3 linked regions of the Saccharomyces cerevisiae S288C genome follow. Changing the gene in region 1 together with any one later gene gives a genetic interaction. Each region holds a gene or a part of one and is shown in the gene's direction. Other genes may lie near its edges.

Region 1 (3,812 bases):
AGATGAAAGCCACGTGCAGCCTAAGTTGCTGAAATTCATGGGGAAACCGGGCGTATTGAGCCCTCGTGCTCGCTGGATGCACCTGTGCGGCCTACTGTTTCCGTCCCATTTTAGCCAAGAACTACCATTCGACAGGCACGACTGGATTGTACTCCGAGGCGAGCGCAAAGCGGAACAACAACCTCCAACCTTCAAGGAAGTTAGATACGTCTTGGATTTCTACGGAGGGCCCGACGACGAAAACGGAATGCCTACTTTCCACGTGGATGTCCGTCCTGCCCTAGATAGTCTAGACAATGCTAAGGACCGGATGACCCGTTTCTTGGACCGGATGATCTCGGGTCCGTCCTCTTCGTCCTCCGCCCCTTAAATGATATACAGCCAGCGTAAGTACGTGTAAATAGCCAAGTAAGAAATAATGATGTCCTAGTGCAGCCACAATCAATTTCACTTTTTCATATATATTTTTCCACCTTATTATCACAAGGTGCACCTTTATCGTGTGCCACGGCGGTAAAAAACTACCTTCAGGGGTACGATACATTCTGTGCTGGCGACCACGGGGCTGACAGAGACACCCGTAGAGGCTACATTACTGATTTGGGAAATTTCCCAAATTGGAAATATCACCTCGTCGACGTGCTGCGGTGCATGGCTGTTTTACCCGTTTAGGAAAAAACTCGGCGGGTTTTCTTGACGGGCAAATGTCGCCATTCGTCTCGTTTGAACGCTTGGCCTGTAAAACAGCTAACTCATTCACTATCTCTATCCTGCGACCGTGATGATACCGAAAGTATGCTGATACAGATCGGTCCCTCATATCGCGATAGGGCTTTCTGAGCTCTCCTCCCCCTTCTTCCCTCCCCAGCCAAAGAGGCCGGTTTTCCTTCTGGGGAAGTGTCGCAACCAAACGCTGTGCTCAAACCCTAAATTGTGAACTTTCAAGAAAAAAAAAAAGAAAAAGTGAAAAATTATCAGGCAAGAAAAAGAAATTACCAAGCCTGCTCTCACTGTAATGATCAAGTTACATAAATTTACTATCGGATTAGTGTGTCCCTCTGCCACATTTCCATATTTGGCCTTGGGTTTTTGCCCTCATCTTTTTTTTTTCTTCCTCCTACCTATTTATAATTTGTATATCTGTACTTTCCTCGAGCTTTTAATCTTCTTCTTAAACATTTTCTTGTGTAGTATACTTTCACACAATTTCTTTCTTGATTTTTTCTTCTACTACTGAGTCTGCCAGTCAAATGGATTTCTGAGGAAAGAGGACTATACCCATTAGGAAACGAATTGCCCGAGTAGTCTCCTCTGCCGACTTAAACCAACCTTTTTCTATTTCTCTTTTCTTTTCTCCCTCTTTTTTCTCTGTACTAGCATCCAAAAGCAAGCATCCATCCGAGTCCCAGTCGCAATCTCACATCTCCAATTTAACGTATCCATTGCATTTCCTCATTCGGTTTAACTCCTCTGCATTTCTTTTCTGACCCATAGCATTTCTTACATTCCATTGCATCTCCCTTTTACTCTCGTTCAAGACACTGATTTGATACGCTTTCTGTACGATGGCCATATTGAAGGATACCATAATTAGATACGCTAATGCAAGGTATGCTACCGCTAGTGGCACTTCCACCGCCACTGCCGCCTCTGTCAGCGCTGCCTCATGTCCTAATTTGCCCTTGCTCTTGCAAAAGAGGCGGGCCATTGCTAGTGCAAAGTCTAAAAACCCTAATCTCGTTAAAAGAGAATTGCAAGCACATCACTCAGCGATCAGCGAATACAATAATGATCAATTGGACCACTATTTCCGTCTTTCCCACACAGAAAGGCCGCTGTACAACCTGACTAACTTCAACTCTCAGCCACAAGTTAATCCGAAGATGCGTTTCTTGATCTTTGACTTCATCATGTACTGTCACACAAGACTCAATCTATCGACCTCGACTTTGTTCCTTACTTTCACTATCTTGGACAAGTATTCCTCGCGGTTCATTATCAAGAGTTACAACTACCAGCTCTTGTCCTTGACCGCGCTTTGGATTTCGTCCAAATTTTGGGACTCCAAGAATAGAATGGCCACTTTGAAAGTCTTGCAAAACTTGTGTTGCAATCAATATTCTATAAAGCAATTCACGACTATGGAAATGCATCTTTTCAAATCACTCGATTGGTCCATCTGTCAGTCGGCAACATTCGACTCCTACATCGACATCTTCTTGTTCCAATCTACGTCCCCGTTATCGCCTGGCGTTGTCCTTTCTGCCCCTTTGGAAGCTTTCATTCAACAGAAACTGGCCTTATTAAATAACGCTGCTGGTACTGCTATTAATAAATCGTCCTCTTCTCAAGGCCCCTCTTTGAACATCAACGAGATCAAATTGGGTGCCATTATGTTGTGCGAGTTAGCTTCCTTCAATCTCGAATTATCATTTAAATATGATCGTTCACTAATTGCGCTGGGTGCAATTAACCTCATCAAATTATCTTTGAACTACTATAATTCAAACCTTTGGGAAAATATCAATCTGGCTTTGGAGGAAAACTGCCAAGACCTAGATATTAAATTGTCAGAAATCTCTAATACTTTATTGGATATAGCAATGGACCAAAATTCTTTCCCCTCCAGTTTCAAATCAAAATATTTGAATAGCAATAAGACATCTTTAGCAAAATCTCTCTTAGACGCATTACAAAACTATTGTATTCAATTGAAACTGGAAGAATTCTACCGTTCACAAGAATTGGAAACCATGTACAATACTATCTTTGCTCAGTCCTTTGACAGCGATTCATTGACTTGTGTTTACTCAAATGCTACTACTCCAAAGAGCGCTACGGTTTCATCTGCGGCCACAGACTATTTCTCGGATCACACTCATTTAAGAAGGTTGACCAAAGATAGCATTTCTCCACCATTTGCCTTCACTCCAACCTCATCTTCATCCTCTCCATCTCCATTCAATTCCCCTTACAAGACTTCAAGTTCAATGACGACCCCAGACTCTGCATCACACCATTCACATTCAGGTTCGTTCTCTTCTACCCAAAATTCTTTTAAAAGGTCACTGAGCATCCCACAAAATTCAAGCATCTTTTGGCCAAGCCCACTAACTCCCACCACCCCATCTCTAATGTCAAATAGAAAATTATTACAAAATTTATCTGTGCGTTCAAAAAGATTATTTCCTGTTAGACCCATGGCCACTGCTCACCCATGCTCTGCCCCCACCCAACTGAAAAAGAGATCAACTTCCTCTGTGGATTGTGATTTTAATGATAGTAGCAACCTCAAGAAAACTCGCTGAAACGACAAAAAAAAAATGCATTTAACAACAAATAAATTAAAATTTGCAAAGCAAATACGTTAACATACATTAATGATCTTTTTTTCTTTTTGTTTTCACAGGACTCATTATTTCTTTAAATATACTTATATTACATTTGCATAGAATTACAAAAAAAAAAAAATTATAAAAACGCACAACCTAAAATACGATTACTATCGTTTTTTCTCCTTACTTCCTCTAGTCACATTATACATTTTTTTTCATCCTTCACAGACGTATCTTAATACTAAGTGTGGATCAATATAATGGGTATAGCTTGAACATCTGCCCCTCTCTATCTAATGTTTTTTTCTTGAATTATTTAGTATTTGCTGTATACTAGTTTTATTTATCAATACAGACGAATGTTCAAGAATTTCTCATTGTTTTCCGCCAACATTTCTTTAGCAACATTCCAATCTTCATCGCTACCTAACACAACAAAATCCCCATCTTCGTCCTGATATTTGATCTTGGTGATTG
Region 2 (5,227 bases), on another chromosome or scaffold:
TAGTCCCCTTGGTCACCTTGCTTGATTATCGTAGCACCTTTGGGGACGGACTTCTCCTCCAGACAATTTATGACCAGCCTTTTTGAGTCGGAATCCAGCTTGTTGAACAGAAAGTTATTACGGATCGATTTTTCCAGTCTTTGCAATTGCTGCTCGGACTTTTCCTTATAGTGATCTGGAGTCCAATCGTCAAAATTGTTTGGTTGTAAGGTCTCACCACTAACAGAAGTACGCCTTTGGGCGTTGAAGTGCATTGGGAGTGGAGGAGTTGATGTCTTTTCTCTAGTATGCTGTTGTTCTTCCTGTGCTTGCTGGTGAGTGTCCTGTTCGTGCGGGTCTAAATTAAACCCACTTTTAAACACGTTGGAGTGTGGGTCCTCGTTCACAAAGGGGGATTTGAACATAACACTCGATCTGGATCTTGATTGAGATTGAGCTGATTGAGGTCTGGAAAATGACTCCTCTGGTTCCGGAAATAGAACAATGTTCTTTGCCTTAAATTCAGGCTCCCTGGCCTTGAGGAACGCTCTCTGTTGTTCCAGCCTTTTATTGAAATAGTTGGCGGAGAACTGAAGAAAGTCGGACGGATTAGCGGCGTTGATTTCGTTCTGGAACAGTTGCAATTCGGCTTGCGATTCCTTGGGCAAAGAAGATACCATCGTTTATTCTTACTGTTGTCTTTTGAAAATAATCTGCTTGTTGTAAATGATCTTCCTATTTATGTATGCGTGAAATGCGTGTAATGGATGTGATGATAGCGATCGCTTGACTTAGTCGAGGAAAGCGTAAAGTGTCCCTTTTTCTCTTTCCCTTTTCCCTGTTTGTTCAAATTTTCTCTTTTCTACCTTCCTCTTCGTTTTGCTCCTTGCCAGCAAAACGAGGAAGGACAAGAATTTTGGAGAGCGGCGGCGCGGCGCCATAATAAATGCACTTGAGCAAATGCAATAAGTTCAGCTTATGGCTTCTGCAACAAAGAAGAGGTCGGAATCCGAGCACAGTATAATCAATATATTATCAGGCAGAACAAAAGTGGCGGGTATAACACGAAGAAAGAAGGAAGGGTGGTGATTGGGTGCTTTGTTTTTTTCCGCTCGTCGTGGTGGCATGCGCTTTTTTTTTCTTGGGTGAAGATTAGCCGCCGAAGTCGTATGCTCCTCTTTTGAGCGTTTTGAAAGATAGAAAAAAGCTGAGTAAGTAAAATCGTCGGCGGCTAATCTGAAAAGTATATAAAGTCCTTTATATTTTCCACTCGTATTCTTTTCCCTCCTCCTTTTTTTTTTTACTTTCTCACGTATGGCTTGTTTCATTTATTATCAGATCAGTAATCACGTGCCGTGTCGTTAGAAATGACATTTGGTTCTTTGCCTTCTTTGTCCTTTTTCTATCTTCCTACTAAGAGAAACTATTATACAATACAATAAGAGAACATCGTGAAACAACATAAAAGATATCACGTCATCAGAGAGAGATAAAACATCACAACCAATTACATTACAGTGTATTCGTTTCTTCTTAGAGAGAGAAATAAAGAGCGGGATAAAAGGACACTACACAGTATACCCCATACCCAGGTGCAATAATACACGTATATCTATGTTTATTGCACATCAAACCCCACATATATGTCTGCCAGAAAACGCAAGTTTAATAGTCTCAAACCGCTAGACACCTTGAACAGCTCTCGTGCCAGCTCTCCAAGGTCCTCTGCTTCTCTACCGCCCAAAAGATATAACACTTTTCGTAAGGATCCGAAAATCGTTGATCATCTAAACAATGCTTCTACAAAGGATTTCTTACCAGTTTTGAGTATGAACAGCGAGAGTAAGAGGCAGATCGAATTGTCGGATAATGATGTTGATAATAATGATGAAGGTGAAGGCGTCAACAGTGGCTGTTCAGATCAAGATTTTGAACCTTTGCAAAGCTCTCCTTTGAAAAGACACTCATCACTCAAAAGCACTTCCAATGGTCTTTTGTTCCAAATGTCTAATAATCTGGGGAATGGTTCACCGGAACCGGCAGTAGCGAGCACTTCTCCAAATGGCTCAATTATTTCCACTAAACTAAATTTGAACGGCCAATTTTCTTGCGTTGATTCGAAAACATTGCGAATTTATCGGCATAAAGCACCATGCATAATGACTTTTGTCTCAGATCATAATCATCCGAAATTTTCATTGTATTTTCAACAATCGGTGATCTACAATTCACAAGTTAATCTGCTTGATGATGTTGAATTGATAATTTTAGATAAGAAGAACTCTTTTATGGCTATAATTTTAAAAGATCTGAAAAAGGTCAAGATGATACTAGACGTGAATAACTCTTCAATCAACATTAACACGAACATCTTGATATGGTCCACTGCAAGCTCCGCTTCAAATAAAAAAATAAAGTCTATTAAAAGATTCCTGTTGATGTCATATTCTTCGTCGATAAAAGTCGAAATTTTAGATCATAAAGAGCAGATTTTGGAAAGACTAAAACATCTGATTCATCCTATTTCTTCGTCATCACCTTCATTGAACATGGAAAGGGCAATAAACTCCACTAAAAATGCATTCGACTCTTTAAGACTTAAAAAAACTAAACTTTCTACTAATGATGATGAAAGTCCGCAAATTCATACTCATTTCTTATCAAACAAACCTCATGGTTTGCAATCCTTAACAAAAAGGACTCGTATTGCCAGCCTTGGGAAAAAAGAGCATTCAATATCTGTTCCAAAATCGAATATTTCACCCTCAGATTTCTACAACACTAACGGGACAGAAACTTTACAATCCCACGCAGTTTCACAACTAAGACGTTCAAATAGATTTAAAGATGTTTCGGATCCAGCAAACTCAAATTCAAATTCAGAATTTGATGATGCAACTACGGAATTTGAAACACCAGAACTGTTTAAACCTAGCCTCTGTTACAAATTCAACGATGGTTCAAGCTATACTATAACAAATCAAGATTTCAAGTGTCTTTTCAATAAGGATTGGGTTAATGATAGCATTTTGGATTTTTTTACAAAATTTTACATTGAATCATCTATTGAAAAGTCAATTATCAAAAGAGAGCAAGTTCACTTAATGTCCTCTTTTTTTTACACGAAACTAATTAGTAATCCAGCAGATTATTATTCTAATGTAAAAAAGTGGGTTAACAATACTGATTTGTTTTCTAAAAAGTACGTTGTTATACCAATTAACATAAGTTATCATTGGTTTAGTTGCATTATAACAAACTTGGATGCGATCTTGGATTTTCATCAAAACAAAGATAAAAACGATGCCATCAACTCCGATGAGATTTCTATAAATAATCCTCTGGTTAATATTTTGACTTTCGACTCGTTGAGGCAAACTCATTCAAGAGAAATTGATCCAATAAAAGAATTTCTCATATCCTATGCACTTGATAAATATTCAATTCAACTGGATAAAACACAAATCAAAATGAAAACGTGTCCAGTTCCACAACAACCTAATATGAGCGATTGTGGTGTTCATGTTATTTTGAATATTAGAAAATTTTTTGAAAATCCGGTGGAAACAATTGATGTATGGAAGAATTCTAAGATTAAAAGTAAGCACTTCACCGCAAAAATGATTAATAAATATTTTGATAAAAATGAAAGAAATAGTGCGAGAAAGAATTTAAGGCATACTCTAAAACTCTTACAACTCAATTACATCAGCTATCTGAAAAAAGAAAATTTATATGAAGAAGTTATGCAAATGGAGGAGAAAAAAAGCACCAATATCAACAATAATGAAAATTACGACGATGACGATGAAGAAATTCAAATCATTGAAAATATAGATCAAAGCAGTAAAGATAATAACGCGCAGTTAACCTCGGAACCTCCCTGCTCACGATCATCCAGTATTTCAACAACAGAAAGAGAGCCGACAGAGTTGCATAATTCCGTAGTACGACAGCCCACCGGTGAAATAATAACTGATAATGAAGATCCCGTTCGCGCTGCTTCTCCAGAAACAGCATCCGTTTCTCCTCCCATACGTCACAATATTTTAAAGAGTTCATCTCCTTTCATATCAGAAAGTGCGAATGAAACTGAACAAGAAGAATTTACGTCACCATACTTTGGAAGGCCGTCTTTAAAGACGAGGGCTAAGCAGTTTGAAGGCGTTTCGTCACCAATAAAAAACGATCAAGCCCTGTCATCCACCCATGATATTATGATGCCGTCGCCTAAACCTAAAAGGATTTACCCAAGCAAAAAAATCCCACAACTTTCCTCGCATGTTCAATCTCTATCGACTGATTCTATGGAACGCCAATCTAGTCCCAATAATACCAACATTGTAATTTCAGATACAGAACAAGATTCGAGGTTAGGAGTGAATTCTGAAAGTAAAAATACTAGTGGTATTGTTAACAGGGATGACTCGGACGTCAATTTAATTGGTAGTTCACTACCTAATGTAGCGGAAAAAAATCATGACAACACTCAGGAAAGTAATGGTAATAATGACAGTCTTGGTAAAATACTTCAAAATGTTGACAAAGAACTGAACGAAAAGTTGGTTGATATTGATGATGTGGCATTTAGTAGTCCAACTAGGGGTATTCCAAGAACCAGCGCGACAAGCAAGGGATCAAATGCACAACTTCTCTCTAATTATGGAGATGAAAATAACCAGTCTCAAGATTCTGTTTGGGATGAGGGCAGAGATAATCCTATACTCTTGGAAGATGAAGACCCTTGAAAGCACTCGCACGCATAGTTTTATATTTTTTATTCTTTTCCTCTTTATTTTTATTTTTTTAACATTCTCGCATAATAATAGTAACAGCAATAAAATAACTAGTAATATACATACTCACATAAATAGGCATATTTTTTATTTTGTTCTTTCGTATTCAGAATGGTAAATTTTTCTAATGAAATGTTTTACAAAAATTTTTTTTCTATAATTCTAACAATAAGAAATAAAACAGTGGAAAAACATATAACTTAATGTAGATATATATATGTAAATATGCTAGCATTCATTTTAAATGTAAGGAAGAAAACGCCTTTAACTTTCATCTGGTAAATTTTCTAAAGCTCTACCCTTAGTGTAAACCTCGTCTTTTACATTCTGTACAGTACTTTTGAACCATTGAATGAACAGCACAGTTGCTTGGAAAAAGAACGTAAATGACTCTAATGCTATCAGTAGTCCGAAATAAATATCTTGCATCCTTGTCCATGTTGGGAATGATT
Region 3 (4,520 bases), on another chromosome or scaffold:
TAAATAAAATTCCGATAAAGAAAAACTTATTTAATTAATTAATATAATTACAAGACTAAAAAGCATTATTTCCCCTTCGCGTTTTACTTCTCCTGCTCAGACGTCTGCGTTATTTCTGAAAAAGGCCTGTGGACAATGCTAAAAGAGTAGTCAAATTATTGATTAGTTCCTCTATTGCCGCAGGACCAGAATTTCCTGTGGTTGACAGTGTTGTCTGCACAAGGGGCATTCTGGCCTCTCTTTACACCAGCTCATAAGACAACTCCAACAAAATAGATGTCCACATGGCGCGCAGCTAGGATCACTCATGTTCATGAGACATAGGATGCATTTTCTCGAGGCTTCTGGAATAAATGGCAATTGGTTTTTATCTGACAAATTTATATGAGTCAGCTGCGATTCCTTCGGTATGCCTTCTATAGATTCATGTTCTGAACGCTCCTGTAGACCAACAGACGACCTAGTAATTGAATCATTGGTCCTTTTTCTCCCATAAATCCAGGACCCGAGCGTAGAGGTTAGGACAGGGTACCATTTCATAACATTTTGAGCTAATAGGATATAACCTAATACTTTGTACTTTTGTGAGCCCTCTTCTCTAAAATTGGCCTCATTTTTTGACAATATATGTTTAAAAACATATCTCATACCAAAAATCCTTTTGGAAATACTGTAAAAAGCTCCTTTGAAATAAAAGAGGGTCATGTGTACGTCTAAAATGAAATCTAAAAGGCCCTTACAAAACGCGGCAACACTTTCAGTATCTTCAATTTTACTTTCCTTGTTGTTCTTCATTATTTTCTTGTATAGTTTGGTGATGAAATATGGACATAAAGGATAAGCGAAAGCGAATACAATCATTTTGAGCCGTCCTGCAAGTCTGGTACCCTTCCTATTAGTGTATGTCAAGTCAACATATTCCTCACCTAACGTTCTACCACGTCTTCCTGTAGTAAAGAGCAAATACAGGAGCTTGGCAAATATGGACAGTTCCTTAGGGTAAGAGTTAACAAACAATTGACTCTTTATCAATTTGCACAATTCAGTCACTTTCATAATCAAAAGGCCCTGGATTTGTTCATCTTTTTGATGCGCTTGTACTATACTTGGAGCATCGGCAAATGGAAATCTTAGCTGCGATAGTCGCATAAGTGCTTCCTTTTGCAACTTATTATCATTCTTCATTTTGGTCCTCTATTGTATGACCCCCCACCGATGTAGTAGTGTCTGTTTCTTTCTTCGATGTGTAGTGTGCTTTATTACCACTACCTTATTTTTCTAATGTAAACGGCTAATACCTACTTCGCCCTCTCAGATTATCACGGTGGGTAAAAATTGTGATAAAACCGGCTGATTACTTGCAAGAAGATGCACATATGGACAGCTCATGTAGCTGTTGAGACGTTATCATTGTTAGAACTTTGGCTCCTATAATATTATCAATTCACGTTTTGCTGCTTATTCCTCCGAACGACTTTTAGCATTGGGTTACTCTGATCACAAACATCCGTACCCTACACTCCGGGTGATAAAGCCAGCCCATTGTTTCGTACTTTCTTATTACACCCTCATATTGAACGATCTATAAAACGAAGTAATGTACAGACACAAGTGCAAGCGAGGAATATATACGGTCGATTAGTAGATTACAAACCACGAAGTAGAATATATCATTTCCGTTTCGTCTAGATAAAAAAACACTTCTTTGTTCAGAGTAGCTAATTGATGGTGAACGAATTAGAGAATGTGCCACGGGCGTCGACCTTGACGAATGAAGAGCAAACGGTTGATCCTAGCAATAACGACTCACAGGAAGATATTAGTCTGGGTGATTCTAACGAAATTACTTCGTTGGCATCATTAAAGGCTATCCGATCAGGAAATGAAGAGGAAAGCGGGAACGAGCAGGTGAATCATAATGATGAGGCCGAAGAAGATCCTCTGTTAACTCGCTACCATACCGCTTGCCAAAGAGGTGATCTAGCGACTGTCAAAGAAATGATACATGGAAAGTTGCTCGAAGTTAATAACGACGGTGACTCTACGGAACATATCACTGGTTTGCATTGGGCAAGTATTAATAACAGACTTTCTGTAGTGGATTTTCTAGTTTCACAAGGCGCTGATGTCAATGCAAGGGCTGGTGCTTTGCATGCCACACCATTACATTGGGCTGCAAGGTATGGGTACGTGTACATTGTCGATTTTTTGCTTAAGCATGGAGCTGATCCCACCATGACCGATGACCAAGGTTTCAATCTACTACACTTATCTGTGAACAGCTCAAATATAATGCTAGTTCTATACGTTTTATTCAACGTTGTCAGCAAAGGTCTTTTAGATATAGATTGCCGAGACCCAAAGGGCAGAACTTCACTACTATGGGCTGCTTACCAGGGAGATTCCCTAACTGTAGCAGAATTGTTGAAATTTGGTGCCAGCATAAAGATCGCAGATACAGAAGGATTCACCCCACTGCACTGGGGCACTGTAAAAGGGCAACCACATGTACTAAAATACTTGATTCAAGATGGTGCAGATTTTTTCCAAAAAACGGATACCGGAAAAGATTGCTTTGCTATTGCTCAAGAAATGAACACTGTGTACTCACTTAGAGAGGCTCTAACACATTCTGGATTCGACTACCATGGTTATCCCATTAAAAAATGGTTCAAAAAAAGTCAACATGCTAAGCTCGTTACATTCATAACGCCATTTCTATTTCTAGGAATCGCATTTGCTCTTTTCTCTCATATTAACCCTTTGTTTGTAATCATTGTCCTTTTTTTATTGGCCATTGCCACTAACAAAGGCTTGAACAAATTCGTTCTGCCGTCATATGGACGAATGGGTGTCCACAACGTTACCTTGTTAAGGTCACCTTTGTTATCCGGTGTTTTTTTTGGCACTTTACTTTGGGTGACTATCGTTTGGTTTTTCAAAGTTATGCCTCGAACATTTTCTGATGAACAATATACTAACATCCTAATGCTGGTAATACTTGTTTCTGTATTTTACCTTTTTGGGCAGCTTGTTATTATGGACCCAGGATGTTTGCCAGAAGAAACTGATCATGAGAACGTGCGACAAACAATCTCGAACTTGCTCGAAATCGGTAAATTTGATACGAAGAACTTTTGTATCGAAACTTGGATTAGAAAACCTCTAAGAAGCAAATTTTCGCCCTTAAACAATGCTGTGGTTGCAAGATTTGATCATTACTGCCCTTGGATCTTTAATGATGTCGGACTCAAAAATCACAAAGCATTTATATTTTTTATTACATTAATGGAAAGTGGTATTTTCACATTTCTTGCACTTTGCCTGGAATATTTTGATGAACTTGAAGATGCACACGAAGATACATCCCAGAAAAATGGCAAATGTTTCATCCTAGGCGCTTCAGATCTCTGTTCGGGATTAATATATGATAGATTTGTCTTTCTGATATTATTATGGGCTTTACTCCAATCTATTTGGGTTGCAAGTTTGATCTTCGTCCAAGCCTTTCAAATATGTAAAGGAATGACCAATACAGAATTCAATGTTTTGATGAAAGAGAGTAAGTCCATTGGCCCCGATGGGTTATCTTTCAATGAAAACTTCAATACTACTCCAGAAGGATTTGCGCCGTCGATTGATCCGGGTGAGGAGAGTAATGATACTGTACTAGCACCAGTCCCAGGCTCAACGATAAGGAAACCACGCACTTGTTTTGGCGTTTGTTACGCGGTGACTGGTATGGATCAGTGGTTAGCGGTTATAAAAGAAACCATTGGCATCAAGGATAGCACCGGACATAATGTGTATTCGATTACATCAAGAATACCAACAAATTACGGTTGGAAAAGAAATGTTAAAGACTTTTGGCTTACAAGCGATATAAATGCGCCTTTGTGGAGGCGAATTTTGTATCCTCCTTCGGGCTCTAAAGCTTTGCTCAACGGGATAGAAGTTGACTATTTTAAGCTTTACAAATTGCCAAATAAGGATGTTGAACAAGGAAATGATATGGTATGAAAATTTTGTTGTTTTCATTAGGAGAAACTGTATATTTTAGCCTTTTATCAAACAACTGTGAGTATAGAAAAGTTTATGCCTCAAGCTGCAGTGCTTCTTATAAGTGATTGGCTGAATCAAGGACTATTAGGAAAGCTCATGAGGTGGTTAATAAATGTTTAGCTGAAAAAATGAAGATAGCCACATTTGTAACATTCATTTCAAAGCACATATATATATAATATACATATGTTTGTTTTGGGAAATTACTGGAAGCTGCCCTAGTTTTGTTTTGATTTCACTTTCCTTTGTTTACATATTACCATTTTGACGCGTTCCGTGACACGTTAAAGGATAATAGTTGCACAAAAGGGATATGTGGCACTCTATGTCGTTCGTGGTAATTCGAGAAAAGTAATCATATTTATGGGCTTAATATGGAAAGAGATATTGTTTAGCGAGTAAGAGAAAACGATCATCAAAATTAACAACAAGAACATTATTATTCGATAGGAATGGGA

Evidence for each region. A genetic interaction does not mean that the proteins touch.
Region 2: of CLN3 (region 1) and ULP2, extra expression of one rescues a mutant of the other (dosage rescue), as found in Saccharomyces cerevisiae (2 studies listed by BioGRID, with this or other methods).
Region 3: mutations in CLN3 (region 1) and AKR1 together harm fitness more than expected from each alone (negative genetic interaction), as found in Saccharomyces cerevisiae (2 studies listed by BioGRID).

Annotation. Positions count from the first base shown.
Region 1 is NC_001133.9:65,274-69,085, reverse strand, and holds CLN3 (cyclin CLN3), read left to right. Parts: upstream 1-1,565; coding exon 1,566-3,308; downstream 3,309-3,812. Other genes in the region: holocytochrome c synthase CYC3, read left to right, coding at 1-370; Rho family guanine nucleotide exchange factor CDC24, read right to left, coding at 3,682-3,812. UniProt on the Saccharomyces cerevisiae protein: Essential for the control of the cell cycle at the G1/S (start) transition. CLN3 may be an upstream activator of the G1 cyclins which directly catalyze start.
Region 2 is NC_001141.2:291,011-296,237, forward strand, and holds ULP2 (SUMO protease ULP2), read left to right. Parts: upstream 1-1,622; coding exon 1,623-4,727; downstream 4,728-5,227. Other genes in the region: cAMP-dependent protein kinase regulatory subunit BCY1, read right to left, coding at 1-659; E3 ubiquitin-protein ligase SSM4, read right to left, coding at 5,040-5,227. UniProt on the Saccharomyces cerevisiae protein: Insertion mutation in SMT4 confers temperature and benomyl sensitivity; high copy suppressor of a temperature sensitive mutation in MIF2.
Region 3 is NC_001136.10:995,529-1,000,048, reverse strand, and holds AKR1 (palmitoyltransferase AKR1), read left to right. Parts: upstream 1-1,725; coding exon 1,726-4,020; downstream 4,021-4,520. Other genes in the region: PEX10 (ubiquitin-protein ligase peroxin 10), read right to left, coding at 172-1,185; exodeoxyribonuclease DIN7, read left to right, coding at 4,515-4,520. UniProt on the Saccharomyces cerevisiae protein: Palmitoyltransferase specific for casein kinase 1. Palmitoylates isoforms YCK1 and YCK2 at both C-terminal cysteine residues, which is required for their proper plasma membrane localization.